Callithrix jacchus: one gene and its partners. The protein of the gene in region 2 interacts with the protein of the main gene of each other region in a biochemical or structural test. Links are inferred from orthologs where the notes say so. Each region holds a gene or a part of one and is shown on either strand. Other genes may lie near its edges. The genes, in order: CTNND1, CDH1, JUP and CCNB1.

Region 1 (7,814 bases), on a different chromosome or scaffold from region 2:
TTTTTTTTTTTGAGACAGAGTCTCGCTTTGTTGCGCAGGCTGGAGTGCAGTGGTGCGATCTCAGCTCACCACAACCTCCACCTCCTGGGTTCAGGCAATTCTCCTGCCTCAGTCAGCCTCCCAAGTAGCTGGGACTACAGGTGCATGCCACCATGCCCAGCTAATTTTTGTATTTTTAGTAAAGATGGGGTTTCACTACATTGGCCATGTTGGTTTTAAACTCCTGATCTTGTGATCTGCCTACCTCAGCCTCCCGAAGTGCTAGGATTACAGGCATGAGCCAACTCGCCCAGCCAGTTTATTTTTTTACCATCTCAGTTGATTGTAACCTCCTCTTCCTGGGCTTAAGTGTCTCCCCAGTAGCTGGAATTACAGGCATGCACCACCACACCTGGCTAATTTTTGTATATTCAGTAGAGAGAGACTGGGTTTCGCCATGTTGGCTAGGCTAGTCTCAAACTCCTGACCTCAAGTGATCCGATTGCCTTGGCCTCGCAAAGTGCTGCAATTACAGGCATGAACCCATCAATAGATGGACTTCTATCAGTAGATAAGAAGATACGTTTTACACATACAGGATTGTTTTATGTATTTTTTCTTTTTCTTTTTTTTGTTTTGTTTTGATACATGGAATATTACACTCCATGCTCAGATTTACAGCCCTCAAAGTTTAACGTCCCCATCTACATTACCACATACAAACAAAGAAAAACAATACCATAAAATGGTGAAAGATTAGGAAAAAGCCAAGAAAGGCAGGGAAAAAAAGTGTGTTTAAAATATTAAAATTATTATATAGGGCAGAGTTCTGTGCCATGATTATTCTAGTTCTAAAATAAACTAAAACAGCCAGGTACAGTGACTGATGCCTGTAATCCCAGCATTTTGGAGGCCAAGGCAGGAGGATCATTTAAAGCCAGGAGTTCAAGACAAGCCAAGTTCAAGAAACACTGCAAGACCCTCATCTCTACAAAAAAAACTTAAAAAAAAAATTAGCTGGGAATGGTGGTGCATACCTGTGGTCCCAGCTAATTTGGGGGGCTGAGGTAGGAGGATTGCTTAAGCCCAGGAGTTCAAGGCTGCAGTTAGCTGTGTTTGTGCCACTGCACTCCAGCCTAGGTGACAAAGTGACATCTTGTCTCAAAAATAAAATAAGCCTGGGGGAGGTGGCTCATGCCTATAATCCCAGCACTTTGGGAGGCTAAGGCAGGTGGATCAACTGAGGTCAGGAGTTCCATACCAGCCTGACCAATATGGTGAAACCCTGTCTCTACTAAAAATACAAAAATTAGCCAGGTTTGGTGGCATGCACCTGTAGTCCCAGCTACTCGGGAAGATAAGATAGGAGAATTCCTTGAACCCAGGAGGCGGAGGTTGCAGTAAGCCAAGATCAAGCCTGCACTCCAGCCTGGGCGGCAGAATGAGACTCTGTCTCAAAAATAAATAAATAAACAAACAAATAAATAAATAATAAAGTAAAATAAAATAGACTAAAACTATAAATGCCAAGGAGAAGAAATTTTAAAAATTCAACTTCAAAAACCCTTCTGCTTGCTATCCAAATGTTACATAAAAAGAAAAAGAAAAAAAACCCACTGCTTATCCATAAAAAGAAAAACAAAATATTTTTACTCCTTTCTACCCTCTGGTGGTTACATATTACAATCCGAAGTTTGTCATTTTTGAAGCCCTGTATATGATAGCCATTTACCAATCCCTTTAGAAGTTCTTTTTTTTTCTTTTTTTTTTTTGAGACAGAGTCTTGCTCTGTCACTCAGACTGGAGTGTAGTGTTATGATGTCAGCTCACTGCAACCTCTGCCTACTGAGCTCACGCAATTCTCCTGCCTCATTCTCCCAGGTAGCTGAGATTATAGGCATTCACCACCATGCCTGGCTAATTTTTTTATTGTTAGTAGAGACGGGGTTTTGCCATGTTGGCCAGGCTGGTCTAGAGCTCCTGGGCTCAAGTGATCTGCCTGCCTGAGCCTCCCTAAGGGCTGGGATTATAGGCATGAGCCACCATGACCTGTCCAATCTTAAAAAATTCTACCAACACAAGATTTAACTAAAATGATGTTAGATTGAAAAAATAAGAAGTCCTCTCCACTTCTTGAAAATTAATTTAATCCTGATGGCAATATATTAATGAGAATATATACATTTATAATTACCTTACATCTCCACAGAATCATCTATACTGCTACTCTACCTGCCCAATCAAGTCCTGATTCTATGGTAACAGATGCCATAAACAAGGGTTGTTCTGCCTTCTCTTTTGTTTTCTTTGCTTGTTTACTTGTGTGTGTTTGTTGTGCTATTGTTGCTGCTGCTGCCAACATCTAAAATCTTTCCTCCTTCTGCTAATTTTTATGTCCTTTCACAAACTGCTTCTTCTTCAAAGTCAGACAACATCAACCAAAAATGTTTTCTGTTCCTTGTTTCTTTCTCCACCTCAACACCAGCAGCCTCAGTCTAGGGGAAATAGTACCTGACTTGGAAATGCATTCCCCACACCACAATTTCAGTCAACAACCTCAAATCCTTTTTGAAAGGGTGTTAGATATCAATAAGGACATTTGGTGTGACCTCAACGTTTTGTCCCTTTGCACATTGCCCTTCTCTTAGCATCTTTCTTCCTTTCTACCTCCAGTTGGCCTCGGCAGGAGCTGGTCCATTTCAATTCACTGTACTTTGTCACCAGTGGCTTTAGATTCAGCTATTCTTGTCCAGAACTGGACATCACAGAGCATCTAATGAGGGCAATAACTGAAGCCAGGGCCCAGGTCCTAACACACACAGGGGAAAGAAAAAACTGCTGTCCATAATTATACCATGGGTTGGCATTCTCTGTAAACATTTAATCTTGAGATAATTAGGCCAGGCATAGTGGCTCACATCTGTAATCCCAGCACTTTGGGAAGCTGAGGCAGGCAGATCACCTGAGGTCAGGAGTTTGAGACCAGCCTGACCAACATGGTGAAACCGTGTCTCTACTAAAAATATAAAAATTAAAAAATATATACAAAAATTAGCCAGGCGTGGTGGCAAGTGCCTGTAATCCCAGCTTCTTGGGAGGCTGAGGCTTGAGAATTGCTTAAACCCAGGAGCCAGAGGTTACAGTGAGTCAAGGTCATGCCACTGCACACCAGCCTGGGCAACAGAGCAAGGCTCTGTCTCAAAAAAAAAAAAAAAAAAAAAAAAAACTTGAGCTAATTTAATTTTTAATATCCCTGAAAACAGCTAACTCCAGTCAGAAACTGGGCTAAATAAATTGGGCCAGGCTCAGTAGCTCATGCCTGTAATCCCAGTACTTTGGGAGAATGAGGTGGGAGGATCAATTGAGCCCAGGAGTTTGAGGCCAGCCTGGGCAACATAGGGATACCCTATCTCTATTTTAAAAAAGAAAAGAAGAAACAGAAAGAGAGAATGAGAAAGAAAGAGAGAAAGAGAAAGAAGGGGAGAGAAAGAAAAAGAGAGAGAGAAAGGAGAGAAAGAAAAAGGAAAGAAGAAAAAAGGAAAGAAAAGAGGCAGAGAGAAAGAAGAAAAAGAGGAAGGAAGGAAGGAGGGAAGGAAGGAAAGAAAAAAGAGAATAAGAGAAAGGAGGGGGTGAGGAAGGGAAGAAGGAAGGAAGGAAGGAGAAGGGAAGGAGGGAGGGGAGGAAAAAAGAAGAATAAAAAGAATATCAGTCTGAGCACGGTGGCTCACGCCTCTAATCCCAGCACTTTGGGAGGCCAAGGTGGGTTGATCACCTGAGGTCAGGAGTTTGTGACCAGCCTGGCCAACATGGTGAAACCCCATCTCTACTAAAAATACAAAAATTAGCTGGGTATGGTGGCAGGCGCCTGTAATACCAGTTACTTGAGAGGCTGAAGCAGGAGGATCACTCGAACACGGAGGTGGAAGTTGCAGCGAGCAGAGATGGTACCACTACACTCCAGCCTGGGTGACAAGAGCCAAACTCCATCAAAAAATTAAAAGGAAAGAATAAAGAAAGAAAGAAAATCAGCCAGACGTGGTGGCACTCACTTGTAGTCCCAGCTATTCAGAAGGCTGAGATGGAAGGATTGCTGGAGCTCCAGAGGTCGAGGCTGCAGTGAGCTGAGATCGCACCACAGCCTGGGCAATATTAATTAACTGTTGTTGTTGTTTTTTCCTGAGACTGAGTCTCGCTCTGTTGCCCAGGCTGGAGTGCAGTGGTGCGATCTCAGCTCACTGCAACCTCCGCCTCCCAGGTTCAAACGATTCTCCTGCCTCAGCCTCCCAAGTAGCTTGGCTTACAGGCGCAAGCCACCAGGCCTGGCTAATTTTTTGTATTTTTAGTAGAGATGGGGTTTCACTATGTTGGCCAGGCTGGTCTTTAACTCCTGACCTGGCGATCCACCCGCCTCCGCCTCTCAAAATGTTGGGATTACAGGCGTCAGCCACCACGCCAGCCTAATGCATTTTTTTAATCGTCTCTGTAATGATAATGGAGATTATTTTTTAAAAAATCGTCTCTGTAAGGATAATGCAGATCATTCCGGGGGGAATTTCTGCAAAACCCCTGGGTCACTAGTTCTCCAAGATTTGGGGGTGAAGAAACTGAATTCAGATACTGCCCAAGGACCTTATTCCAGAACATCTCCAGTTATAGGAGATAGCTAGGTTAGCGAAGTGGGAGATCCGGTGTTAGCAAAGCCATCCAGAGACTTCCTCCACGAAGCCTGGAGGGTTCCCAGCAGGGCCAAGGCCATCTGCTGCCTCTTCAAGGGGAAGACAGACATGCCCTGTAACCGCATTGGTGCCTGCTTTGCTACAGCATCCCTACCCTCTTTTTCGGTGTGTCTTCATCGAGTGCTGAGGGAGACGACGGCTTCCACAAGAATTCCTCCCCGGCGGGCCTTTCCCCCCGCCTCTTGCAGCCCAGCCATCTTCCCTCAGCCCTCAAGTCCCTCGAGAGTTAGACTCCCGCCCAAAGCGCTCCTTCTGCTCTGATTGGTTCTCCCCGAAGCCTTCGGCCAATGGGGATGACGTATTCCGGGGGACGTAGGCCCGAGGGCTCGGGAGGAGGAGGGGCGTCGGGCTCAGCGACGCGCCGGGAGCGAGGGTGGTGGCACGAGGTGTGTGCCGCTGGCCGCTTGGCCCCACAACCCTCGCTATCACCACCACTCGGTGCATGTGGGTGCGGAGCCCGCAGAGATACAAGAGCGCCAAGGGCCGCCTGCAAAGCCGGTGCTGTCGGAGGTGGCCGTAACGGGAAGTCCTGAATTTGGGCCTCCGGGATCCCCACACTGCATTCCCAGAATCCCTCGCGCCTAGAAGTCTTTCTTCAAAGGAGTTGGGCCAGGGCGTCCAAGCGTGCGGGGCACCCCGCTGTGCAGGGCTCTGCCTGAAGTCCTGTTTTCTCCGCCAACACCGATTCCCTTGCTTCTGGACAGGGAGGTGAAGCACTCAGCTACTGGCCCACCTGTGCTTCTTTGCTCAGCCTTTGGACTCAAGCTTGGACACTGAGGAAGCAAAGCAGACTGGACAGAGGACAAGCACAGGGCGGACAACAGGAGCAAAGGACTGCAAAGCTATTCCAGGTTGGGTCTCGGGGCAAGGCCGGGCGCTCGTGGATGGGAAGCTTCCCCAGGGCCCTTGCAAGAGCTGCCATCCTCCATCCCCATCTCTCTTACTGGGATGGGGATTGATTGAGCCTGCCTTCTCTTTTTCATCCACATCTGTCTTCTGGAATTGAGCCTGTATACAGTGTGTGTGTGTGTGTGTGTGTGTGTGTGTGTGTGTGTGTGAAAGAGCGAGCGAGAGGGAGTGTGTGTGAGAGTGAGAGTCTCAGGCTGGAGTGCAATGGTTCTATCTCGGCTCACTGCAACCTCCGCCTTCCAGGTTCAAGCGATTCTCCTGCCTCAGCCGCCTGAATAGCTGCGATTACAGGCGCGTGCCACCATGTCGGGCTGATTTTTGCGTTTTTGTAGAGATGGGGTTTCACCACGTTGGCCAGGCTGGTCTCAAACTCCTAACCTCAGGTTATCCGTCCGCCTCGGCCTCTCAAAGTGCTGGGATTACAGGCATGAGCCACCGCGCCAAGCCGGAGGCTGTCTTGTCTTAATTTACCTTTTCACTCTTCTTTCCTGATAGTTTTGACGTGAATTGTTCGGACCCTCAGTGCCACCTGATAGAAAACGGCATTCCAGGAAAGGAACACAGCTGTGCAGTGAGTGTGGGGGTTTCGGTGCTAAAAAGCTGGACATGGGCCGGGCGCGGTGGCTCAAGCCTGTAATCTCAGCACTTTGGGAGGCCGAGGCGGGTGGATCATGACGTCAAGAGATCGAGACCATCCTGGTCAACATGGTGAAACCGTTTCTACTAAGAATACAAAAAATTAGCTGGGCATGGTGGCGCGTGCCTGTAATCCCAGCTACTCAGGAGGCTGAGGCAGGAGAATTGCCTGAACCCAGGAGGTGGAGGTTGCGGTGAGCTGAGATTGCACCATTGCACTCCAGCCTGGGTAAGGAGCGAAACTCCGTCTCAAAAAAAAAGCTGGACATAAGCCTTAAGTCAGAATACTCAGTTTGTTTTGGAAGGGGGAAAATGCTTAACTCTCCTTGCTCCATTGGTAGCCTGGTAATTAACTATACAAACCTAAAGGCCAAATTCTTTGCCTACTGCGAGGGTCAGTCAGGCTCGCTTTGGTCAAGTACACCCAGCCGTGGTTCTGTGAGAGACCTTCTGGCAGAGTCAGAGGCTTCCCTTCTTTATTGTGCACCCTCTGCTGGTGTGATAGAGTGAGCTCAGAGAAAAGAAGAAGGTGCATACAACTTATTAGACATGATTTTATACCCACTATTGTTTCCTTAAAAGTGTTAAATTGAAGATGATACCCATGGAGCTGGGATGTGGTGCTCAGGAAGAATACGAGTAGTCAGCATTGTAGCAGTTGAGTCTCAGTGGTAATGGAAATGAGGAAGCCTGAAGGATAATAATAGCTGTACCATTTAGGACATGGTAGTTATTTTGTGCCAGGCACTTACTGTGCTAAGCAATTTTACCTTCATTGACTCATTTATTGTTTAACAACCCTACAAGGTAAGTACTATTATTCCCATTTCATGGATAGGAAAGTGAGACTCAAGAGAAATTAGGTCACCTGTGTGAGATTATACAGCCAGGCTAATAAATAGAGCCAAGACCCAAGCCTAGGTTTATCTCTGAGCTCCCACATGTAACCACTCTGATAATGTTCTTTCTTGAGATATCCTTGGCACAATTTCTGGGCTGGTTTCCTCAACTATATTATAATAGATACCATTTTCTCTTACTTTCAAATTTCCCCTGCCATTTAAAAGACAAAAAACAAATTACATATAACCGTGCCTCTGAAATGTCTTATCTCACCTACAGGAGTCTGACTTGTGAAAACCTAGAAGGTTAAGAGTCTGCCAACATGTACTCTCCTGCCAGTCCCAAAATCCTATACAGGAACCCTCGGTTCCTCAGGTTAGCTTTTCTGCAGCTTCATAACCAGCAGCAGAGTGGTGTGTTCTGTGATGTCCTTCTGCAGGCAGAAGGTAAGAGACTGGTGGGAATTCATCTGAAAACTCACCATAGACTAAGATAAAATGAGTTCAGGGCCAGAGGGTAAAGGACAGAATCAGCAAAACGTTACTGCCTTTGACCACTGTAAACTATTTGGTAAAGGGCTGTTTGTTTCTAGGACAATTACTACGGTTTTCAAGCGTGAAATTGTGACTGTACTTCTCTTAAATAATGAATCTAATTGTAAAGTTTTATAAGCAGATAAGATCTATATAACATGGAGCATATTCTAATGGG
Region 2 (7,317 bases):
CAGGCATGAGCCACCACGCCTGGCCTCTAGCACATCTTTGCCCTTAAGAAACAAGAAATTGGCCAGGTGCAGTGGCTCACACCTGTAATCACAGCACTTTGGGAGGCCAAAGTGGGAGGATCACTTGAGTTCAAGAGTTCGAGACCAGTGTGAGTAATATTATGAGAACCCATCTCTAATAAAGAAAGAAAAAAATCATAAAAATAAAAATACAGGCCAGACGCAGTGACTCACACTTGTAATCCCAGCACTTTGGGAGGCCAAGTCAGGCAGATCACAAGGTCAAGAGATAGAGACCATACCAGCCAACTGAGTGAAACCCTGTCTCTACTAAAAATACAAAAATTAGCCAGGCGTGGTGGCATGCACCTGTAATGCCAGCTACTCAGGAGGCTGAGGCAGGATAATTGCTTGAACCTGGGAGGCGGAGGTTGCAGTGAGCCGAGATGGAGCCATTGCACTCCATCCTGGGTGACAGAGCAAGACTCCATTAAAAAAAAAAGTAAAAATACAAGAAATTGAACATCTGAGTTCTGGCACTGCCTCTGTTTTAAATGTTGTTCTACATGGGAATCCCCACTCCTAGTGTATAAAAAAATACATACCCATAGCAAATTTAGATAATCCTATTAAAAAAAAATATTTCAAGTATAACTACAATCTTTAAGATTCCCTTGCTGGGCACAGTGTCTCATGCCAGTCATCCCAACACTTTGGGAAGCCAAGGCAGGAGGACTGGTTGAGCCCAAGAGTTTGAGACCAGCCCAGGCAACATGAGGAAACCCTGTTTCTACAAAAAAATACAAAAAATTAGCTGGGTGTGGTGGCTCAGGCCTGTGGTCCCAGCCACCCAGGGGGCTGAGGTGGGAGGATCACCTGAACCCTGGAAGTCAAGGCTGCAGTGAGCTGAGATTACTCCACTGCACTACAGCCTGGGCCACAGGGCGAGACCTTGCCAAAAAAAAGGAAAAAATCCCCTTAGAATGAATATACTAGTCAGTAATCACTATCCCAAAAGCAGAGCAGGCCACTCAAATGTAATTTGATTACGAAGTGGGCTGGCAGGGCTTATGTTACCGTGCGTAAGACAATGATGAATTAACCTAATCTCATGGCACAATAAAGCCATGTAAAGCCTGGCAGAATAAAAGTCCAGAAAGCTTGCTCGATTCTCAACAGCCACTATCCTTCTCTTCGACTTCGGGAGGACACCAGCAGGAAGGGGCAGAAGTAAATGGGATGCCCAGCAAACATTTCCGGAACATTGAAAGGCACCCTTTCCCGGAGTCCACTGAAGCAGCAGCAGCAAGATCAATGGCACCCATTCCCAACCTAAATTGAAAGCCCTCAATTTGGTCCCACTGCTCCCTGCAAAAATCTTTTTCCATTCCCATCAGCTTGGCCTGGTCTCTGCCCTCCAAGGAGTCTACTCAAGCCTCTGCTGTGCTTTGCTAGGAGAGGAACCTTCCTGAATATCCATCTACCCATTGGAATTCTACCAGCACCTGTGGCCTAACCACTTCCACCTTCCACGAGGCTCAATTCACAGCCTTTTCTGACTACAGTGACTACAAAGGCATTTATGAGCTGGACCACCCCTTATGGTCACTAATTACATATGATCTTTAAACATTTCTTTAAAAATTTTTTTTTAAATTAAAAAAATATATTTTTCATTTTTATCTTGTAGAGACAGGGTCTTGCTTTGTTGCCCAAGCTGGTGTCAAACTCCTGGCTTTAAGCAATCCTCCCACCTTGGCCTCCCAAAGTGTGAGCCACCATACCTGGTCAAAGGTTTCTAAGTGACTTGCTATCACTTGCATTGAGAATCATTCGCTTGCTCTTCTATCATTCACATATTTAAAGCCCTACCAGAGTTCTGATGTAGTGTTCTCCATATGGATACTTTGTCATATGATGCACATAATCTGTTTTCATAACTAACTTATTCCTTTAATAGATTCAGTATTTTCTGTGTGTGAATGACAAAAGAATTCGCCTTGACCATAACAGCACCTGTGTCACCCTGAGGGGTCACTGCAGGTGGGCTCCAAGGGAAACAGGTTTAAGGACTATGGCAGAATCTGCCAATTTTCCTCAGCATCCTTTTTCTCCTTTATCCTTTTAGTCATTGACACTCACTCATTGCTCACCCTACACCCATCCCTACTCCATGGCAATTTTCAATTGCAAGTAGAAGCTTCCAGGCTCCCTTGCAGCTAGGTGTGGCTCTGTTTGGGCCAATGGTATATAAGCGGAGGTGACATTGCCTCCAGTCGTGTGGCCTCCACTTCCTCTCTCATCCCCTTCCCCCTTCTAGGATGGAATATAGAGGTGGTGGTGGTGGTGAGCTGGCTAGCCTAGACCATGCTGGGGCAGCCCCCAAGGTCTTGCTACTCTGCCTATGGTCTAAGGAACTGCAACATCAGCACCCCCTGGGAGCTGGTTAGAAATGTGGAATCTGTGGCCCCACACCAGACCTCCTGGATCAGATTTCCCAGTTTACTAAGAGGCCCATGTGATTTGCATGCACTCAAGCTTGGGATGTACTGACTTGAAGGATGAAAATAAACATGATAGAAGAAACCTGGGTCCCCTATTGACTTCATGGCACAGGGTTGCCCTCCCTCCCATCTTAGACCATTTACCTCCAAACCATTTGGTAAGAGACAAACTTCTATTCAATGTAGGCCAGCATAGCCTGGAAGTCCCTTTCCTATATTGGCTAAAAACCATACCCTAACTAATATAAGAACAAATATCATTTGCAGGAAATAAACCTCCTCCATTTTTTTTTTTTTTTTTTTTTTGAGACGGAGTTTCGCTCTTGTTACCCAGGCTGGAGTGCAATGGCGCAATCTCGGCTCACCGCAACCTCCGCCCCCTGGGTTCAGGCAATTCTCCTGCCTCAGCCTCCTGAGTAGCTGGGATTACAGGCACGCGCCACCATGCCCAGCTAATTTTTTGTAATTTTTAGTAGAGACGGGGTTTCACCATGTTGACCAGGATGGTCTCGATCTCTTGACCTCGTGATCCACCCGCCTCGGCCTCCCAAAGTGCTGGGATTACAGGCTTGAGCCACCGCGCCCGGCCCCTCCTCCATTTTTTTTAAGTCAAAGGCTGAGCCACTTGCCAGCTGGACTTACTTAGCAAAGCAAGAATTCCTCCAAGAATCCCCAGGATGGCAGGAACTTGCAATCCTGCTTCGACATACTGTGCCTTTCGACAGACGTTGGCGGTCCCTTCACAGTCACATACGTGAACCTCTAAGGTGGTCACTTGGTCTTTATTCTGGTTATCCATGAGCTTGAGATTGATTTTGTACTCACCCACCTCTAAGTATATCTTTGGCTTCAAAATGAGAGATTCTTGGGCTGGGGGAAGCAATAAAAAGAAATGATGAGACCAGGAGGGAGAGAGAGAGAGGGAAAAAAGCTCGTTCCACAATAAAATTGTTAGTGACCTAAAGACATTTGCAAGCCGAGCAAAGAGAGCAGAGCTGCTTGGGTTTTAGTTAGGTATCTACTCTTTTTTTTTTGGCTGTAAAAAGCTTTATTTCCATTTGGTCTAAGGCTTGGTAGAGGGCTCTAGGGCAGGTTAAAAAGCTGACTAGTGGCTGGAGGGAGAGACTCAGGCAGAGAGTGGCTCTTCAGATTTGCTGGGCTCAGTAGGCTCCTGGTTGTGCCTTAGGGTGAACCTTTCAAAGAGGTACTCTCCCAGCCTGGGCTGGGGAATGGCCAGACTGCAGAGGTTGGTCAGGGGGTCACCTATCTTCCTGATGAGTTTCACTTCTTCATCAAGGAAGTGGCTCTCCAGGAAGTCACAGAGATGGAGGTCTGTGTGGATGAAACCCAGGGCATGAAGATCCAAAAGGCTCGGTTCAGGTTCTTCTTTAGGGCCAGAGCGACTTCCATTGTGTCCAGGGTTTTACCCCATTCATCTTTTTTTTTTTTTGGAGGCAGAGTCTCACTTTGTAACCCAGGCTGGAGTGTAATGGCATGATCTCTGCACACTGCAACCTCCGCCTCCCAGGTTCAAGTGATTCTTCTGCATCAGCCTCCTGAGTAACTGGGATTACAAGCATACACCACCACTCCCAGCTAATTTTTGTATTTTTAGTAGAGAGGGGTTTCACCATCTTGGCCAGGCTGTTCTCGAACTCCCAACCTCATGATCCACCCACCTAGGCCTCCCAAAGTGCTGGGATTACACATGTGAACCACTGTGCCCAGCCTACCCCATTCATCTTGACATGGCTTCTGGATGTTCTAGAGGACAGCATGGCCACCACACTGGTTTTGCGTTTATTTCAAGACATACTCAGCACCCTTGCGTTTCTCCTTGGCCAATTTGTGGAATAAGTGGCCCACGCCTTCCAGAGCCACATCATCACAGTGGAAATAGAAGCCCAGAGAGAGGTTGATGTAGGAGGCCCACAGATGCAAATTGACCAGGCAGTCGACAGCTGCCTCCACCTCGGTGGAATAGTTCTGACAATCTGGGAGTTCATGGTTCATCGGCAAGAAGGAGCTAACCACAAAAATGGCCTTGTTTCGTCCCAGGAGCGGGAGGTGGCAGAGAAGACAGTCCCGGAGATTGCAAGTGGAGAGGAGATTGGAGGGTGGTTAGAGGCTGGGAGAGGGAGCCCTGCTTGGGTTTTATATTACTGGGTAGCATGCTACAAAGCTAGATACCAAGAAAGGAAAGAGACCTTTGGAGTAAGGCCTCAAAGACAGAATGAACAAGGAAACAAGTATCAACAGAAGGGGTGGCATTTGGAAGTTGAGAAGAGAAACTGAGAGGTGGGGATCTGGGGGAAGGAAAGCATGGCAGTCACAGCACAGTTGCCAAAATAAAGCTCAGGTACTCGCTTGGGTCATTGTACTCAATGGTCCAGTTGGCACTCGCCCCATGTGTTAGTTCTGCCGTGAAGGGAGATGTATTGGGAGGAAGGTCTGCATCAATGATGTTGATGACTTGAGGCTCTGGATTCCTCTCGCAGAAGTACAAATTTCGGGGTTCTGGTATGGGGGCATTGTCATTCACATCAGACAGGATCAGCAGAAGCGTCCCTGTTCCAGTAGCAACTGGAGAACCTAAGAGAAAATACAGAGGAAATGTTACAGCTCAGAAACAGTCATGGATCCCCACTGCCTTCTACCAGACCCAATCCAGATCTTGTCCTAGCTCTTCAGTCGTCCCTCACCAGGCCCCACTCCATCCCCAGAACCTCCCATCCTACCAATCCCAGGGCACCTCCATTCCCAGGTGGGCAGGCCTCTGACCGTTTTACATAGACAAGCTTATTCCCACCTTGATAACCATTATTCAAGTTATTCCTCATACCAGGGACACCCTCCTCCTTCTTCACATGCCATTATTCATTCATTGAATTTTAACAGCTCCAAGAAATCATTACTGCCTGCTTGCTGTCTCCCTAGTTCTTTTTCTGCGCTTTCATGCCATTTAAGGTCATTACCAAAGCATTGAGTCTTTTATTTTTATTTTAAGCCACACTAGAAGTTTAAAATCAAAGGGGATAAGTTGGGTCTTTTTAAGTCTCTGCAAATTGGTTTTCAAAATAGATTTGGGAATTCATACACACTTTTTTTTTTAAGAGACAGGGTTTCACCATATTGGTCAGGCTGGTCTCAAACGCTGAACCTCAGGTGATTCACCCACCTCGGCCTCCCAAAGTGCTGGGATTACAGGCGTGAGCCACCATGCCCAACCTTTTTTTTCTTAAGGCAGGGTCTCACTCAGTCACCCAGGCTGGAATGTGGTGGCATGAACAGAGTTTACTGCAGCCTCTACCTCCTGGGCCTAATCTCTCACCTCTGCCTCCCTAGGAGCTGGGACTACAGGCGCATGCCACCATGCTTGGCTAGTTTTTAAACTTTTTTGTAGGGGTCGGGGGGTCTTGCCATGTTGTCGAGGCTGGTCTTGACCTCCTGGGCTCAAGTGATCCTCCTACCTTGGCCTCCTAAAGTACTGGGATTATAGGTGTGAGCCACTGCACTCAGCCCATCCACACTTCTGTTTGCATTTCTTTTATATCCTGACACAAAACCAAGCATATGGTAGTAGGAAAAATTGGTATCCAGGGAACTATCATCAAGATTAGTATACAACAGGGAAAGAAAACAATGGAGGAATCCATCTCAAACCTATAAATAGATATGTTTAGATGGCATCACTGTAAATTTTTAAAACTTTTTTTTCTCACATAAAATGTCTTTTCTTTTTGAGATGGAGTTTCACTCTTATTGCTCAGGCTGGAGTGTAACGGTGCGATCTCGGCACACTGCAACCTCTAAGCCTCCTGGGTTCAAGAAATTCTTCTGCCTCAGCTTCCCAAGTAGCTGGAATTATAGGCATGCACTGCCATGCCAGGCTAATTTTGTACTTTTAGTAGAGACTGAGTTTCTCCATGTTGGTCAGGCTGTTCTCGAACTCCTGACCTCAGGTGATCCACCTGCCTCAGCCTCCCAAAGTGCTGGGATTACAGGCGTGAGCTACCATGCCTGGCTAAATTTTTTTTTAAACAATGAGCACAAGTCATTTAACATTAACTTAAGGAGTCCAGGCATGATAACTCATACCTGTAATCCCAGCATTTTGAGATTATGGGCAGTATGTTGCCCAGGCTGGTCTTGAACTCCTGACCTCAAGCCATCTCCCACCTCAGACCCCCAAAGTGTTGGTATTACAGGTGTGAGCCTAGCACCCAGTCTATAAATGTATTTAAATACACAGAAACAGTCTGGAAGGACCCTCACCTAGTTCATTTCATCCAGATGGGTATTATCACTTTTCAGGTAAAGGAATTATGGGACACACAAATTAAACAGCAAATCCAAGGTCACACGACTATTAAGCTTTGGACCTAGAATGTAAACCATTGTTGTCTGCTTCCCTTAGGGTTTTGCCATGTTTCCCAGGCTGGTCTTGAACTCCTGGGCTCTAGTGATCCTCAGACCTCAGCCTCTCAAAGTGCTGGGATTACAGGTGTGAGCCACTGTGCCCAGCCCATTTGAATTTTTTGATAATAAGAATGCCTTTGTTTAAGAATAAAAGGAAAAACAAGGCCGGGTGCAGTGGTTCACAATTGTAATTCCAGCACTTTGGGAAGCCAAGATGGGCGGACCATGAGGTCAGGAGTTCGAGACCAGCCTGGTCAACATAATGAAAGCCTGTCTCTACTGAAAATACAAAAATTAGCTGGGTGTGTTGGCAGGTGCCTGCAATCCCAGCTATCTGGGAGGCTGAGGCAGAAGAATTGCTTGAACCCAGGAGGCGAAGGTTGCAGTGAGCTGA
Region 3 (8,071 bases), on a different chromosome or scaffold from region 2:
CCCAGCTACTTGGGAGGATGAGGCAGGAGAATTGCTTGAACCTGGGAGGCAGAGGTTGCAGTGAGCCTAAATCGATCCAGTGCATTCCAGCCTGAGCAACAGAATGACACTCCATCTCCAAAAAAAAAGAGCCTGGGCATGGTGGCTCACACCTGTAATCCCAGCACTTTGGGAGGCTGAGGTGGGCGAATCACAAGGTCAGGAGTTCGAGACCATCCTGGCCAACACGGTGAAATCTCATCTCTACTAAAATACAAAAAATTAGCCACGCATGAGGGCGGGGAGAAGAGAGGAGGAAAGAAAACTGAGCTTCCTGCCCTGAGGGCCCCGAAGGCCAAGACACCAGGAGGCTGAGCACGGGGGAGTGGTCCTCGAGCCGTCCCTTCAGATCTGGCAGAGAAAGTCGCCGCACAAGGAGATACTCCATGTCCACAGATTCAACCACGTCCCAGGAGAGGCCTCTCAGTGTCACTTGCGGAACACAAGCCCTGGTGGCCTGCCCAGCCACACTGCTTTTCCTCTTCACAGGGGTCATGGGGCCAGCTCACAGATGCTTCTCCCTCTCACTGCCAGGCTGCTCTTCCCGCAAAAGATTCAAGATAAGGAGTCTCCCCAAAGGGCGGTGATTCCTGCCTGGCCTCCCTGCCAGACAGGACGGCCCTCATCAGAGAAGAGTCAATGCTGCGCCTCCGCCTCTCCCTCTTACCCCTCAACTCAAGATCTGTCTGTAGAAGGCAGAAAGCCCTTCCTCCCATCTAGGCTTCGTCCCTTCTGTAAGAGCATCGTGCTGTAGCTCTCATGTCCTCAGGGGAGGCGGAAACCTGCAACCTCATGCCCTCTCGGTAGCAGTCAGTCAGCAGGACAGGGTGCATTCTCTTTTCCTCTGTCTCAAGTCCCATTAGCCTTCTCCACAATCAATCATCCCCAGGCCCAGGGTCCCCACCTGCCCTCATGGGATGCAGAATGGTAGTGGCAAGCTTGGTACTCCGGCTGCACCATCACATAAAGAGAACCCATTTCCCAGACCCCAAATCCACGCCCATTCTGGTGTCAGATGTCCAGCTGGCAGCAACGCCAGAACCAGGCAGGTCTGGAGGACAATCTGACACCAGCTCCTCCCTAGAGGGCCAAGGCTCTGGCTGACAGGCAGCACGCATGCCCCCTACCTCCATCACCAGAAAGGCCCTCCCGGCAGCTGCCTATCTCAGGTCTCTTGGGCTCCAGAGCAGAGGACAGCCAGTTCCCCGTCAAGAGCAGCCTGGCAGCACTGCCTGGCCCACTCCAGCAGGGCATTAGCCCAGGCCTAAATCAGACTCCCGTTTCTCTCCACTCCCCACAGAGCAGCACCCCGTTATCTTGGCACAACCCCAGCCTCCAGCAAAGCAGGCAACTCCCACCTCTTACACAGGGACAAGCCCAAAACACCCATGGTTCTACCTAAGTCAAGCTAGGAGGCAGCACAGCTTTGACCCCGGCCTCCTGTTTCCTGCTCAACCTCCTCCCAACACTCACCACAGCCCTGCCTTACGGAGAAGCCTCCTCCACTGGGAACTAAAGATCAAGCCACTGGGGAGGTTTCAGAGGGCTGCTGGCCGGGACAGGTATCACTCGTGCCTACCAAACCTGCCCTACATTCACCAGCCACATTCTTTATTCTCTTCTCAGCCAGAGGCTCTCAAAAGGGAGTGCAGAAACTTCCACTCACACCTGTAATCCCAGCACTTTGGGAAGCTGAGGCAGATGGATCACCTGAGGCCAGGAGTTCGAGACCAGCCTGCCCAACGTGGCAAAACCCTGTCTCTACTAAAAATACAAAAAATTAGCCAGCCATGGTGGCCCGAGCCTATAATCCCTGCTACTTGGGAGGCTGAGGCAGGACAGTCACTTGAACCCGGGAGGTGGAGGTTGCAGTGAGCCGAGATTGCACAACTGCACTTCAGACTGGTGACAGAGCGGATTCCATCTCAAGAAAAAAAAATCCTTTTCAGAGCTACATGAGGCAATACGGCAGGATGGGTTCTGGGCTTGGAATCAGGGCCCAAATGCCAGTCTTGGTGCTGCTTGGGTCTCACTGTACGACCCTGGGCAAATTACTTAAGTTCCCTGAGTTTCAATTTCCTCATCTGTAGAATGGGGATAATGATACCCGCTTCTTTTTTTCTGAGACAGAGGCTCACTCTGTAGCCCAGGCTGGAGTACGGTGACACAGCTCACTGCAGCCTTGAGCTCCCTGGACTCAGGTAATACTCCCACCTCAGCCTTCCCAGTAGCCGGGACCACAGGCTTGCACCACCATGCCCAGTTAATTTTTCTATTTTTTGTAGAGACAGGGTTTTGCCATGTTGCCCAGGCTGGTCTGGAACTCCTGGGCTCAAGCAACCTGCCCCTCTGGGCCTCCTAAAGTGCTGGGATTACAGGTTTGAGCCATCGAGCCTGGGCAGCCTTAAGTTTGAAGTGAGACTAGCTAATGAAAGTGCTTGGTTTCTGTAAAGTCTTACCTTGATCTTGAGTTACCATTTGTCAAGTACTTACAGGGCAGATAGGTATTAGTATTCCCATTTTGACAAAGAGGTCACTGAGGCTCAGGTAATGGAATGAGGGACAGAGGTGGGTCTCAAACCCAGCTCAGTTCAAGCCCAAAGCCCTGTGCTCAGAACTGCCCCACCATCCCATCTCTCCAAATAAACAGTCCTTCTGTAGACTAGTCAATGGACCGATCTCATCCTAAAGTGGCTCCAGGAAGGGAAAAAGGCTGGCAGCCCTAGCCTGTCTTTTCTTGTTCCTATGCACTGAATTCTCAAAGCCTCAGCCCTGGCATTCCAAACAGAAGTTCCAGAGGGAATGGGGTGGAGCCAGGGTGCAGGGGAGGGGTGGAGTGGGTTCGGGAGGGCTCAAGTCACCCAAGCTGGGCTCCATCTAGCAAGAAATGACTAACTGGATCCTATCTTCTCCTCCTCCCCCGCGCCCCCAGTCCAGTCAGTGGCCAGTTTTCACCAGGCATCTCCTAGCAGTACTTCCTCAGTAGTATCTTTTCATCATAGCCACAAACCAGATTAGCTAAACTAATCATTTAGCCAACACAATTACAATGCCCTCCCCTCCTCCACCTTGGCACGGAGAAGAGGGAAAGCAGGTTATTTTTGCCCAAACTCCGTGCCCTGTTGCTCCCCAGAGGCAGGCAGCACCCCTTTCCCCAGCAGAAAAGGATCTGAGTTCCCACACTGGCTTCCCCCTGGTCCAGGGCTGTGCATGATCCCCACCCAGGACAAAGGGGCTGAGTCTGGCCCCCCAGCCTCAATCCCCCATCTACAGCAAAGAAAGAGGTGGCAGGCTCTTCCCCTCCAAGCACTCTCGATCCCCAGTTCTGCAATCTTTCTCCCACCCCCAGGACTGAGAGAGAACCCAACTCTTATATTCCCTCTCTGTTCCCAAGGCTGGGCTCCAAATCCTGCAAAATGACCGCACTTAGGACTTTTTAAAACCAGGGTAGAAAGCCTGGTGACGACCCCCAATTCTGGAGGCGGGGTCTCAGGAAATTGGGAGTAGGGAAGGAGGTGGGGGCGGTGGGGGGGGGCATTCACCTCTCCTGAGGGAGTCTAACATTGAAGAAACCTTCCCCTCCAAAAGCCTTTCTCCAGTCTCACTTTCCCTGTCAAATTCTTTCAGGAAAGGGGATAGGAAAGGTCTGCCCAGGCCTCCAGAAAGCATGCACCTTCATAATTCAGAAATCAAATGGAAGGCAAGCCCCACAGCCTCATGCTCTTCTGCCTCAATTACCAGCCAGCTAAGTAATGTGGGGGATGGGGTAGAGAAAAAAAAAAGACAAGAACATCCATTCCCCCCACCTTCCTAGCTTGGCCCAGCCCTGCCCCACCCCCATTCCTGGGGAGGGGGCAGAGCTTGAGAAAGAGCCACTCACGCAGGCCATGTCTGAGGGGGTGTGGTGGTCCCCGGAGGCAGGAAGAGAAAGAGAAGGAAGAAGCTGCTTCCCCTCTCGGCCCTTTCCACCCACCCCACCCCGGCCCCCACCTCAGGCCCCTGGGGCGCAGCTAACAGGATGGATGTGGGGGCAGGGAAGCCAGGGTCAGAGCGCAGGCAAAGGCCCAGGTTCAGCCGGGGGCCGGCTGGGGGAGGGGACTTTGCACCAAGAAGGACCTCCTAAGCCTAAAGGAAGTTCTGGGCAAGGAGACGGGAAAACCCCCAGAGAACGCTGCTGTGAATACTTCCTCCTGCAAAGTTTGTTTTGGGTGATTTTTCCAACAATAAGAGGTTAGAAAAGAAGACGATTCCTGTTCCCCTACCAACACTCTGGCAGCCACAGCTACTGGAAACTGGGCCAGGTGACCCTGAATGCTTCACTCGTGCACAGACCCCTCCCCCCAGACCGAGCCACGGGTGCCAAACACCAGCTGGACACTGGGCCGAGCCGTGCACCAGCCCCCACTGTCACTCCATCCCACCTCTGCTGGAGAAGCCAGAGCCGGGCACCCACTGGAGTGGAGGGAGGCGCCGCAGGTAGTATCGACGAGGCTCCGGGAGCTGGAGGGCTGGGCCTCTGGACTCCGTGCGCTCACCTGCTCGGCAGGTGGGGCCAGCGTCACTGGGAAAATGTGCGCTCGGCCCCCACAGTTGGGCAAGCTGGGCGCAGACAATAGGGCCCCACCCAGGCCTGGGGGAGTAGAGAGGGAGGGAAAGCGAGGATGACGCGTGGGGTGGGGTGAGGGTGGCCCCAAAGAGACCAGCGGCAGCAAGTTTCCCAAACGGTAAATTACTGACTGCAGCGAGAGCCCTGGGACGCAGTCAAAGCAGGGCAAAGTCTCCCCCTCCAGCTCAGGACGAGAGTCAGGGACGCGGCGTCGGGCGAGCTGTGCGGGCCCCGGGAGGGGCGCGACCCCCGAGGCATCTGCCCGGAGCCCTCCCGCCCTGCTCAGATCTCCCGCTCGCGGAGCTCCTAAGCGCGCTCGGCCCGAACCGCGCGCCCCCCCAGTCGCCGCGCCCAGGACCCCAGCGCGCCCCCTGCTGCCAGTGCAGGGTGGCGCTCCATGGCACCCGCCCTCACCTGCCCAGAGACTGCTGGGACCGGCCCCGCGGCCGCTCGCCACCCCTTCTCTCCCCATCGATACCTGTCCTCGATCGCCCGCACCTGAGTCTGGGGCCTGGCCGGCCGGGTAGAAATCGGGCCGGGGTGGGAGCCGGCGCGGACAGCGAACTGAACTCGGCGCGCTCGGGCGGCGGCTGCTCCGGACTCTGGCCAAGGCAGCAACTCAGTAACCGAACAAAAGGCGAAGAGACCTGACAGCCAAGCCACGCCCCTCGCCACCTCGAAACTCCGCCCCTGGGGGAGACGCCCACCCGCTGATGCGAGCTCACTGGCTGTCTCGCCTGACTGTCCCGTCAAGGGGTGGAGCCTCGCGTCCAGTCCTTCTCCACGGCCGCCTCTGTTTATCCGCTTGCCATTGGCCCCAGGGACTGCCAGTCGGCTCTAGGGATGGACTCTAACTTGAGATCTCATCCTAACACTTCACCAATTGGCAGATAGAAAGTTACTTTCTCCTGATTGGGCAAGGGACTGTCAGTAAGACTAAGGAAAAAAACCAATGGAAGGTATGGGGTGTGTCTTGCCCCACCCTTGCTCTGAGCAGGTGAGACTCACTACTCTCCCCTTCCCCCTACCTGTCCAACAGGTAAGTCAGGGGATACCAAGGGAAGGGACAGACGCCTTCACCAGCCAGCCAACTCAGCGTCAGGCATGATGCTTCTTTGGGCTTATTCATCCTTGCCCCAAAGTGGTAATAACATATTTGTATGGCATTTCATAGGCTTTGTGCTGGGTTGGGATTTTTTTCCCCAAAGATGGAGTACTTCTGGGATTCAGAATTAGAAGGCCAGGGTTTGTGTTTTGCCGCTTACTATGACCTTAGACAAGTTACTTCACCCTTCCCGCTGTTTCTCCTCATCTGTAAACTGGGTACATTAGCCATATCTACCTCACTGGAGTATGTGGGGATTAAATGAAGTCAGGTTTGTGGAAGCACTCAGAAACTGATAAAGATTAGAATTTAAATTAATGGTATGGGTTTTTTGTTTTCGTTTTTCTTTTTTAATTCTCGTGACAGCTCTGAAAAATAGGACTAGAAAATGATCCTCATCGTAAAGATGAAGAAACCGAGGTTCAGAGAAATCACAAAACTACAAAGTGACACACCCCAAGCTAGAACCACCTTCCTCTCATTTGAAGGACCACCAAATCAGCTGTTCCCCTCATGGAAGAAGAGCATAGACATAAAATGTCAAGGCAGTGGGGAAGGGGCAGAGAAAAGGCACAAGATAGAGACAAGATAGAAAAATTGGAGGTGAGATAGAACAACTGCTTGGCCCAAAAATACAGTATTGGTGTCAGGAGGCTTTGGTGGGCTTGGAAACATCAAGCTGCAGATCTGAAGGAAATCCAGCCCTAGCATGAAAGAAACAGGGCAGGCGGGGTGCACTGGCTCACGCCTGTAATCCCAGCACATTGGGAAGCCGAGGCGGGTGGATCACCTGAGGTCGAGAGTTTGAGACCAGCCTGGCCAATATGGTGAAACCCCGTCTCTACTAAAAATAGAAGTTAGGCTTTCATGGTGGCAGGCACCTGTAATCCCAGTTGCTTGGGAGGCAGAGGCAGGAGAATTGCTTGAACTTGGGAGGCAAAGGTTGCAGTGAGCCAAGATCCTGCCACTGCACTCTAGCCTGGGCATGACAGAGCAAGGCTCCATCTCAAACCAAGGAAAAAAGAAACTGGGCAGCATACCCCTCCACGGTGGGAGAGCCTGGAGTAGAGATCAGAAAGAATTTCTCAGCCAGGTGTGGTGGTTTGTGCCTGTAATCCTAGCACTTTGGGAGGCCAAGGTGGGCAGATCACTTGAGGTCAGGAGTTTGAGACCAGCCTGGGCAGTGTGGTGAAACCCTGTCTCTATTAAAAATACAAAAATTAGCCAGGATGGTGGTGGGCACCTGTAATCCCAGCATTTGGGAGGCAGACACAAGCAGATCACCTGAGGTCAGGAGTTCGAGACCAGCCTGGCCAACATGGTGAAACACTGTCTCTGCTAAAAATACAAAAATTAGCCCGGTGTGGCAGTGGGCATCTATAATCCCAGCTACTCAGGAGGCTGAGGCAGGAGAATCGCTTGAACCCAGGAGGCAGAGGTTGCAATGAGCCAAGATCATGCCATTGCACTCTAACCTGGTGACAGAGTGAGACTCTGTCTCAAAAAAATAAGAACTTCTCATAGGCAGCTTAAGAAGACAAGGACACTTCCTTTCTGTAGTTGATGATGTGAATCCTGCTTATGCTGCTGGTGGCTGTATGGTGTGTCAAGGGCCCTACAAACATTCCTTCATTCAGCACTTGAGTATTGAGTGTCAACTGTATGTTAGGCACTGGTGAATACAGAAAGTAAAACCTGGTGACACAGAAAATAAAAATCTCAACCTTCACTGAGCTCATAGAATGATATGCAGAAGGAGCCTGTGGGTGGGTGCTGGGGGAATGGTGGTTTAGAAAAGGGTCCCCCATTTGGGCCGGGCGCGGTGGCTCACGCCTGTAATCCCAGCTACTCGGGAGGCTGAGGCAGGAGAATTGCCTGAACCCAGAAGGCGGAGGTTGCGGTGAGCTGAGATCGCGCCATTGCACTCCCGCCTGGGTAAACAAGAGCGAAACTCCATCTCGGGGCGGGGGGGGAAAGAAAGAAAAGAAAAGGGTCCCCCATCAACAAAGCTCTACAGCCTCAAAGCTAGCACACAGGATGGGCTGGATGAAGGTACCTTAGCAGCATCCTTGACCATTTTCCCCACTGGAGAAAGGACTGGCAGCTGAATATTCTCCCTTCTGAAGTCACGCCATCCAAGAGCAGGGCCAGGGACATATGGACATCCCTGGACTAGTGGCCATCCCATACCCAGAGCCACTGCCCTTTGCTTGTTTCCCCAACTTCCCCTCCTCTAGCTTACCTCCCTATCTTTATCCCTGCCTTACCCCTGCCCCATCCACCTGCTTGTCACCCTGTCACATAGAGCTGTGGCCAGGCCA
Region 4 (8,102 bases), on a different chromosome or scaffold from region 2:
CTTTGAGAAGCTGAGGTTGAGGCTAGGAGTTCAAGACCAGCCTGGGCAATATAGCAAGACCCTGTCTCTGTCAAAAAAAAAAAAAAAAAAAAGTCTTCATTTAATTGCTCAAATAAAAAGAATGAGGTCGGGTATAGTGGCTCAAGCCTGTAATCCCAGTAATTTTGGTGGCTGAGGTGGGAGGATACTTTGAGACCAGAGTTCCAGACTAGCCTGGGCCACATTGCAAGAACTCATCTCTACAACAAAATGTTTAAATTATATGGGCATCAGGGTGAAGGCAGTTGCCTGTAGTCCTAGCTACTCAGGAGGCCAAAGCAGGAGATCACTTGAGCCCAGGAGTTTGAGGATACAGCGAGCTATGACTACACCACTCTACTCCAGCCTGGGCAAAAAAAAAAAAAGAGTGAAATGCCAACTTAAAGTCAGTTTAAAGTTGGAAGCCAATGAATTCACATCTAGACTTCCCTCCAAAGGAAACTGAGAATTAATTAATCTTTATGAGCAAAATGTGAAGTTAATCCAAATAAATGATAATTCAGTCTTTAGTCTTTATTTCAAAATATAAACTGCTTCTCACTACTCAAAAGAACACAAATTCTGTCCTGACTAGTAAAGATTAACTAACTCCATCACCATTAACCATTTCCTTTGAACTCCCTTTATCCCACTGTTCAAAAATGTATTAAGCGCCTTCTTCAAGTCAAACTCTGCAAGGCATTGACTTCATTGCATCCTCAAGGGCTCTTAATTTAATAGACAAAGTTAAGTAAAGAAATAAGACTGGCTGGGCACAGTGGCTCATGGCTTCTCAAAGTGAGGGCGGATCATATGAGGTTGGGAGTTTGAGGCCAACCTGACCAACATGGAGAAACTCTGTCTCTACTAAAAATACAAAAATTAGCCGGGTGTGGTGGCACATGCCTGTAATCACAGCTACTTGGGAGGCTGAGGCAGGATAATTGCTTGAACCCGGGAGGTGGAAGTTGCAGTGAACCAAGATCACACCATTGTATTCCAGCCTGGGCAACAAGAGTGAAACTCCTTCTCAAAATAAGACTGAGTCTGGGGGTGGTGGCTCATCCCTGTAATCCCAGCACTTTCGGAGGCCGGGGCAGGTGGATCACCTGAGGAGTTTGAGACCAGCCTGACCAACATGGTGAAACCCCATCCCTTAAAAAAAAAAAAAAAAGAAAGCCTGCCTTTACTAAAAATGCAAAAAATTAGCTGGGCATGGTGGCACGTGCCTGTAGTCCCAGCTACACGGGAAGCTGAGGCAGGAGAATCGCTTGAACCTGGGAGACGGAGGTTGCGGTGAGCTGAGATTGGGAGACGGAGGTTGCGGTGAGCTGAGATCGCGCCACTGGACTTTAGCCTAGGCAACAGACTGAGATTCCAACTCAAAAAAAAAAAAAGATGGATTCTAGGAACAGGGGTGGAGATGGGGGAAGTTAGGGAAAGCTTCAGGAGTTGATGCTTGAGCTGTTTTCAAGGATGAAAAGGTTATTAGCTAAATGAAAGACAGGGTGGGGAAGGCATCCTTACTAAGTGGGAAAGCAAAGGTAAGAATCAATATGGGCCTTTCAAGAAAGCCTCATGTAGTTTGATATGCCCAGTTAGACTGTGCTGGCTACATGTTTCATGTACTATGACCAGAAATTCAACACTAAAGCAATATCTTTCAATCTTTTATCCTTAGATATAAGAAGCTAAACTGGCCAGGCTCAAGCTAAATGGTGGCTCACGCCTGTAATCCCAGCACTTTGGGAGGCCAAGGTGGGTGGATCACTTGAGGTCAGGAGTTCAAGACTAGCCTGGCCAACATGGTGAAACCCCATCTCTACTAAAAATACAAAAACTGGCTGGGCACGGTGGCTCACGCACTTTGGGAGGCCGAGGCAGGTGGATCACGAGGTCAAGAGATCAAGACTACCCTGGTCAACATGGTAAAACCCTGTCTCTACTAAAAATACAAAAAATTAGCTGGGCATGGTGCCGTGTGCCTGTAATCCCAGCTACTTGGGAGGCTGAGGCAGGAAAATTGCTTGAACTTGGGAGAAAGAGGTTGCAATGAGCCGAGATTGTGCCACTGCACTCCAGCCTGGGCAACAGAGTGAGACTGCCGTCTCAAAAAAATTTTTTTCCAAGCCAGGCGTGGTGGCTCATGCCTGTAATCCCAGCACTTTGGGAGGCTGAGGTGGGCGGATCACCTGAGCTCAGGAGTTCGAGACCAGCCTGACCAATATGGTAAAACCCTATCTTAAAAAAAAATTTTTTTTCAGGTAATTTTCTTAACTGGTTTTAACTAAGTTTAAAACAAACAGAGCTTCAAAATGCAGTTCATTGCAATTTCAAAGCATCCTCCTCTACATGACCTACCTTTCCTTCACAGGATAGGACACCTTTACACATTTGATATTTAATATAAAGTTATTGGTCTTGAGCCTAAATCTTTTTTTCTTTTCTAAAACATCCTGTTATAACATTTTTTTTTCTTTGAGGCTAAATGTTAATTCATCTTCTTAACCACTCCCTGAAGAGTTGCATTCTTCCTGTTTTATTCATTTACATATTCCAATGTTACGGGCTTATTATTTAGTAGCCATATTAGGCAGTTAAAAAAAAAAATTCAGGCCGGGCACTGTGGCTCACGCCTGTAATCCCAGCAGTTTGGGAGGTTGAGGCGGGCGGATCACCTGAAGCCAGGAGTTCAAGACCAGCCTGACCAACATGGTGAAATCCTGTCTCAAAAAAAAAAAAAAAAAAATTCAAGAGAATATTCTATGTTTATGAGGATAAATTCTGCGAGATAGCTTGTTCTTGGACAATAAAACCTTTGGTTCAGGCAGCTACTACTTAATATCATTAACAAAGAAAGTAATATAAGAAAGTCGTAACAAAAGCATAGATTCTGAAGTCAGACAGCCTGAGCTTGAATCCCATATGAGCCACTTACCTGTGTGATCCTGACATAACCTTTCTAAAGCCATGACCTAAATAGTAGAGGTGATAATATCTACCTCAGAGAGTACATGTAAAGATTACGTGAGTTACTGCATGTAAAATGTTAGGCAGAGCTTGCCTCATGCTAGGCACTCAATAAATGATATTAATATTACTATTTATTTGAATGTTCTTGCATGTGTCAGTGAAATAAGGGACAGAAGAAATAACAAGACTCTACAATGTTAAGAATAAGTTTACCAAAATAGGCTCAGGCGAAAGTTTTTCTTCTTTAACAGGCTCAGGTTCTGGCTCTGGCACTGGCTGGGACACCGGCACTGGCCCCAGCATAGGTACCTTTTCCAGAGGTTTTGGTAGTTTTTTAGCAATAACTTTTCCAGTAGCTGAAGGTTTTCCCTCCTGTGTAGATGAAACAGAGAGAATGGAATATTTCTGCATCAAGGACCACAGCTGGAAGGCGGGCTCTTACATTAGTTAGGTCAGGAAGAGGGCTACCTTTTTCATAGGCATTTTGGTCTGTAGCTGTTCACTGACTTTGTTACCAATGTCCCCAAGAGCTGTTCTTGGCCTCAGTCCGGGCTTGGAGGTTGCAGCAGGGGCCATAGGCACGCGCTTTGCGCCTGCCATACTGATCTTCGTCGTATTTTCAGCATTTATTTTCGAGTTCTGAAAGAAGCAAGACTACTTTAAGAGCTGGTCCACGGAAGCTCGAGTAAGTCAAGGGTTAATTAAGGTGGGGCACAAGAGAGGTTCCCAGAAGGAAAGCCGACTAAATATGGGTTCCAAGGGAAAACGTGGGTCCCAGAGTGTACTCTGCGGCCGTGACAAGTCAATTTCCACCGAGAACCTCTACATTTACCGATAGAGGGATTTCCTAATTAGTCCTCGCCAGCCCTAAAATACTGAGAATTTACATTTGAAAGGAAACCGAAAAAGCCTCCAGTTGCTGATTCCATCTCTCTGGAAAGTGGGTTACGCAGTTGCTGGCGGGCCCACTCAGGAACCCTCCATAACTTTTTCAAAAGGTTCCTAGACTCTCCACCTCCCCCAAACATTTATCCAATGTCCGTCCAGGTCTCTTTCTCACCTTCCTCCCTCCGTCCATCGTCCCCCACACCCCCCACCAGGCCTGGGCCCACCTCGGTTCTCTTGGTGACTCCCCTCCCACCTTCCTCCCCAAATCTCTCCTGAAGCCCTCTCCCGCTCGGGGGGCTCCAGCAGGCAGCTGCGAGGAAGGCCGCGTTAGTTCGCAGTCCGCAACGGCTCACCCTGGTGACTCGGAGCGCCATGGCTTCCTCTTCACCAGGCAGCAGCTCAGCGGAAAGAAGCAGAACACCGGAGTCCCGACCAGCCGAGGACCTGAACCCACCAGAAACCAACAACCGTTCCTCCGCAGCAGGCCGGGAAGAGCCGGCCTAACCTAAAGTTTAAACCCCGCACTGCTCCCTCCTTATTGGCCTGTTCGTGGCACTCGCTAACTTCCCATTGGCGGCTGCCGCTCCCGGAGAATGCGTTTCCAGGGCGATCCCGAGATTGCATTCGAGAGGGGCGGGGTCAGAGTGACGCTAAGGCCGGAAGGCGTGGCCAGGTTCTCACGTTGTCTGCCTCCGCGCCTGCGCTCTCGGGCAGCTGCCGCGGTCACCTGGAGAGCCTAGCAACGCGTGCGCCGCCTACCTGGAAAGCGGGGGCGCGGGGGGGGGTGCGCTGCCCGTGCCAGATCTGGGAAAGCCTGGTGGCCTTTGGAAGGTGACAGTGGCGCGCGGCCACAGTCTCAGAAGTGTCCAAAGTAGTTTTGGATCTAGTCCAAATTATTGTTACACACTTTCCATTTCTACGGTAGCAGCAATAATATAGTTCATGAAAGGCTTTGATATACGTTCTTTCATTTGATAGTTGCAACAACTCTATGGAGTGGAGGAACTGAAGCTCAGCGGCTTAGATGACTTTGCCAGGATCACACATTAGCAAGCGAAGAACTGAATTTAGGGGTTTTTTGAGGGGAGGGAGGATGGGTATTCGTATTATTTTTGCAACACTGGTTGTCCCTTAAGAATGTCACCTTCCAATCATGAGGTCAGGAGATTGAGACCATCCTGGCTAACACAGTGAAACCTTGTCTTTACTAAAAATGCAAATATTAGCCGGGCATGGTGGCAGTTTCCCATAGTCTCAGCTACTCGGGAGGCTGAGACAGGAGAATAGCTTGAACCCAGGAGGTGGGGGTTGCAGTGAGCTGAGATCGCGCCACTGCACTCCAAGCTGGGCGACAGAGTGAGACTCTGTCTCAAATAAAAAAAATAATAATAATTTAAAAAGTCACCTCCCAGCTTCTACTTACTTGATTACTTCAAGACTGGCCAGTTTCCCAAGGCCAATTGTTTTGTTTGTTTTAGCTTTCTATTTGGAAATAATATCATACTTAGACCAGTTGCCAACAAAAATCTTGTAAGGAACATTTCTATATCCTTTACACAGATTCACCCATCCTTAACCTGTATTTGCCTCTCATGAGAAGATCAGGAAAAACAAAATAAAATACATTTAATCCCATTTGCTTTGTCATTTGCTCAATTTCTCTCTGGATCCAAAGAAAAACAAGAGGGTCCTTTTTGCCTTCTACCCCTCAAAACACACCAGGAGCTCAGCAACTGGAGGAGAGGCTAGAGGACAAAAAGATTGATATTTCATAGAGCAATGGTCTAAGAGCCAATAGAGACTCCTGGCTCTGGAAGTCAAGGATCCAGAAGAAGGCACTCAATCATTTGGTTTCGTTGATCGTTATTCAGTCTTCTGTCATCATAGTTCTCCCCTCCTACTTGGATGCCGGCCAGGGGGCCCTTACCTTTTCCTGGAGTGCCTGCCTCATCTTGCCCTCAAGCCCCTGGGTTCTATCTAGCTAATTCCCATTCATCCTTCAGTTCTGTGTTCAACATCCATCCTCAGTCTTTCTGGGATTGATCAGTCCTCTCTGTGTTCCAGTTTTAAAAATAATTTTTACTTTTATATGCTTTATTTTTTTAGAGAACTTTTAGGTTCACAGCAAAATTGAATAGAAAATATAGAGCATTTCACCGCCTTCCCCACTATTGACATCCCACGTTAGAGTTGAACTTTTATTATAATCTGTTAACCTACATTGACACCACATTATTACCCAAAGCCCATAGTTTACATTAAGGTTCACTCTTGGTATTGTGTGTTCTATGGGTTTTGACAAATATATAATGACATTGATGACATATCTAACATTGTAGTATCATACAGAAGTTTCATTATCCTGGCCAGGCAAGGTGGCTCATGCCTGTAATCCTAGCACTTTGGAAGACTGAGGCAGGTGGATTGAGCCCAGGAGTTCAAGACCAGCCTGGCCAACATGGTGAAACCCCGTCAGGAAATCAGCTGGGCATGGTGGTGGGCACCTGTAGTCCCAGCTACTCAAGAGGCTGAGGCAGGAGGATGGCTTGAGCCCAGGAGGTGGAGGTTGCAGTGAGCTGAGTTTGCACCACTGCACTCCTGCCTGGGCGACAGAGCAAGACTCCATCTCAAAAAAAAAAAGAAGAAGAAGAAGAAAAGAAGTTTCACTATCCTAAAAGTCCCCTAGGCTCCACCTATTCAAGCCTCTCTCCTTTTAGACCCTTGCAACCACTGATCTTTTTAGTGCCTCTATAGTTTTGTCCTTTCCAGAATGTCATATTGAGATCATACAATATGTAGTCATGTGTAGTCTTTTCAGAATGGTTTCTTTCCTTTTCTTTTTTCTTTTGGAGACAGAATCTCACTCACCCATGCTGGAGTGGTGCAATGGTGTGATCTTGGCTCACTGCAGCCTCCACCTGCCAGGTTCAAGCAATTCTCCTGCTTCAGCCTCCCAAGTAGCTGGGACTACAGGCACATACCACCATACTCAGCTAATTTTTTTGTATTTTTGTAGAGACAGGGTTTCGTCATGTTGGCCAGGCTGGTCTTGAACTCCTGAGCTGATGATCCATCTGCCTTGGCCTCCCAAAGTGCTGGGATTACAGGTGTGAGCCACTGTACCCAGCCTTAGACTTTTAAGACTCTGTCTCAAAAAAAAAAAAAAAAAAAATTAAGGGAACTGGCAATTGTCAATACTCTCACAGTTGATCCATATTGTGTTCGTGTTTTTGCAGAGATGAAGTCTTGCTATGTTTCCCATCCTGGTCTTGAATTCTGGCTCTCAAGAAAGCCTCTTGCATTGGCCTCCCAAAGTGTTGGGATGACAGGCATGAGCCACTGCACTGGGCCTGTATTATGTTCTTATTGACTAAATCCTTCTGAATTGATATTTAGTATACTTTTTCTGAATTAATATTTAGTATACTTTAACAGAGGATTCTCTGCTTCCTCCATTTTATTATTATTATTGTAGTATAATTGTAGTATTACTGTAGTATAATTATAGACAGGATTGTCTGCCATACTTGCTGAAAATCAACTACAGCCATTAAGTTTTGTCAACCACAAGAGACGTCTGACTTTTTCTCCTTATATTTGCCTAGATGCTCCAGAAGCAAGTGACAGATCCAAAATTGTCTTCTGGGAGAAACATCACAAAGCTTCAAAGGTATGTTGTCAAACTCCTGAAGAGCAAGAAAAAGGAAAAAAAGAAAAAGCTTCAAAAGGTTAGTCTTAGTTGTTGCTATTACTGAGAATACAGCTATGGGCTCAGGCTTCTCAATTTAAGCTCACGTTTTGACCCATTATATACACATTTGTCAGAACTCAGGTAATTGAGTCAGGAACCCCAGGAACTTTTTGGTTTTAGGAGAAGATGACTTTATGGAAGCAGATTGCTTTATTCAAGACATTCCAATCGAGATTGGTTCTTATGAAATTGGGCTACAGGTTTACGTTCAATTTGACTGGGCTAACTGTATATTTGGTTTAAATGACTCTCAGGCACTTGGAAGCATACCTACAAAATTCACCAAAATTACAGGTTGTGTTCCCTATGCTAATGTAATGTTACTCTGAATGTAGGTCTTGGCGAGAAGAAGGAATGAGGCCTCTGGAAGTGGTTTATGTGCCATTTTGGGAATTTAATAATATTGTTAGTCTCTCAGATGACCTAATGTTCTGTCAACCCTATGCCTGTTGAAATACAAATCTTCAATTAG

What was found.
Region 1: the proteins of CDH1 (region 2) and CTNND1 form a complex in vitro, tested with the Homo sapiens proteins (5 studies listed by BioGRID and IntAct, with this or other methods). The link is inferred for Callithrix jacchus from reciprocal best matches to the Homo sapiens genes CDH1 and CTNND1.
Region 3: the proteins of CDH1 (region 2) and JUP form a complex in vitro, tested with the Homo sapiens proteins (2 studies listed by BioGRID). The link is inferred for Callithrix jacchus from reciprocal best matches to the Homo sapiens genes CDH1 and JUP.
Region 4: of the proteins of CDH1 (region 2) and CCNB1, one has a biochemical effect on the other in vitro, tested with the Homo sapiens proteins (3 studies listed by BioGRID). The link is inferred for Callithrix jacchus from reciprocal best matches to the Homo sapiens genes CDH1 and CCNB1.

Annotation. Positions count from the first base shown.
Region 1 is NC_133511.1:115,315,997-115,323,810, reverse strand, and holds the start of CTNND1 (catenin delta-1), read right to left. Parts: upstream 4,928-7,814; 5' UTR 4,810-4,927; intron 1-4,809. Other genes in the region: BTBD18 (BTB/POZ domain-containing protein 18), read left to right, coding at 7,426-7,549. UniProt on the Homo sapiens protein: Key regulator of cell-cell adhesion that associates with and regulates the cell adhesion properties of both C-, E- and N-cadherins, being critical for their surface stability.
Region 2 is NC_133521.1:26,355,357-26,362,673, reverse strand, and holds part of CDH1 (cadherin-1), read right to left. Parts: intron 5,097-7,317; coding exon 4,872-5,096; intron 3,375-4,871; coding exon 3,147-3,374; intron 1-3,146.
Region 3 is NC_133506.1:91,453,908-91,461,978, reverse strand, and holds the start of JUP (junction plakoglobin), read right to left. Parts: upstream 4,974-8,071; 5' UTR 4,904-4,973; coding exon 4,777-4,903; exon of another isoform or gene 4,461-4,776; intron 1-4,460. UniProt on the Homo sapiens protein: Common junctional plaque protein. The membrane-associated plaques are architectural elements in an important strategic position to influence the arrangement and function of both the cytoskeleton and the cells within the tissue.
Region 4 is NC_133503.1:140,374,567-140,382,668, forward strand, and holds the start of CCNB1 (G2/mitotic-specific cyclin-B1), read right to left. Parts: upstream 4,386-8,102; 5' UTR 4,378-4,385; coding exon of another isoform or gene 4,254-4,377; coding exon 4,233-4,253; intron 3,631-4,232; coding exon 3,460-3,630; intron 3,364-3,459; coding exon 3,205-3,363; intron 1-3,204. Other genes in the region: uncharacterized protein LOC118151518, read left to right, coding at 4,252-4,377, 4,594-4,710, 7,485-7,549. UniProt on the Homo sapiens protein: Essential for the control of the cell cycle at the G2/M (mitosis) transition.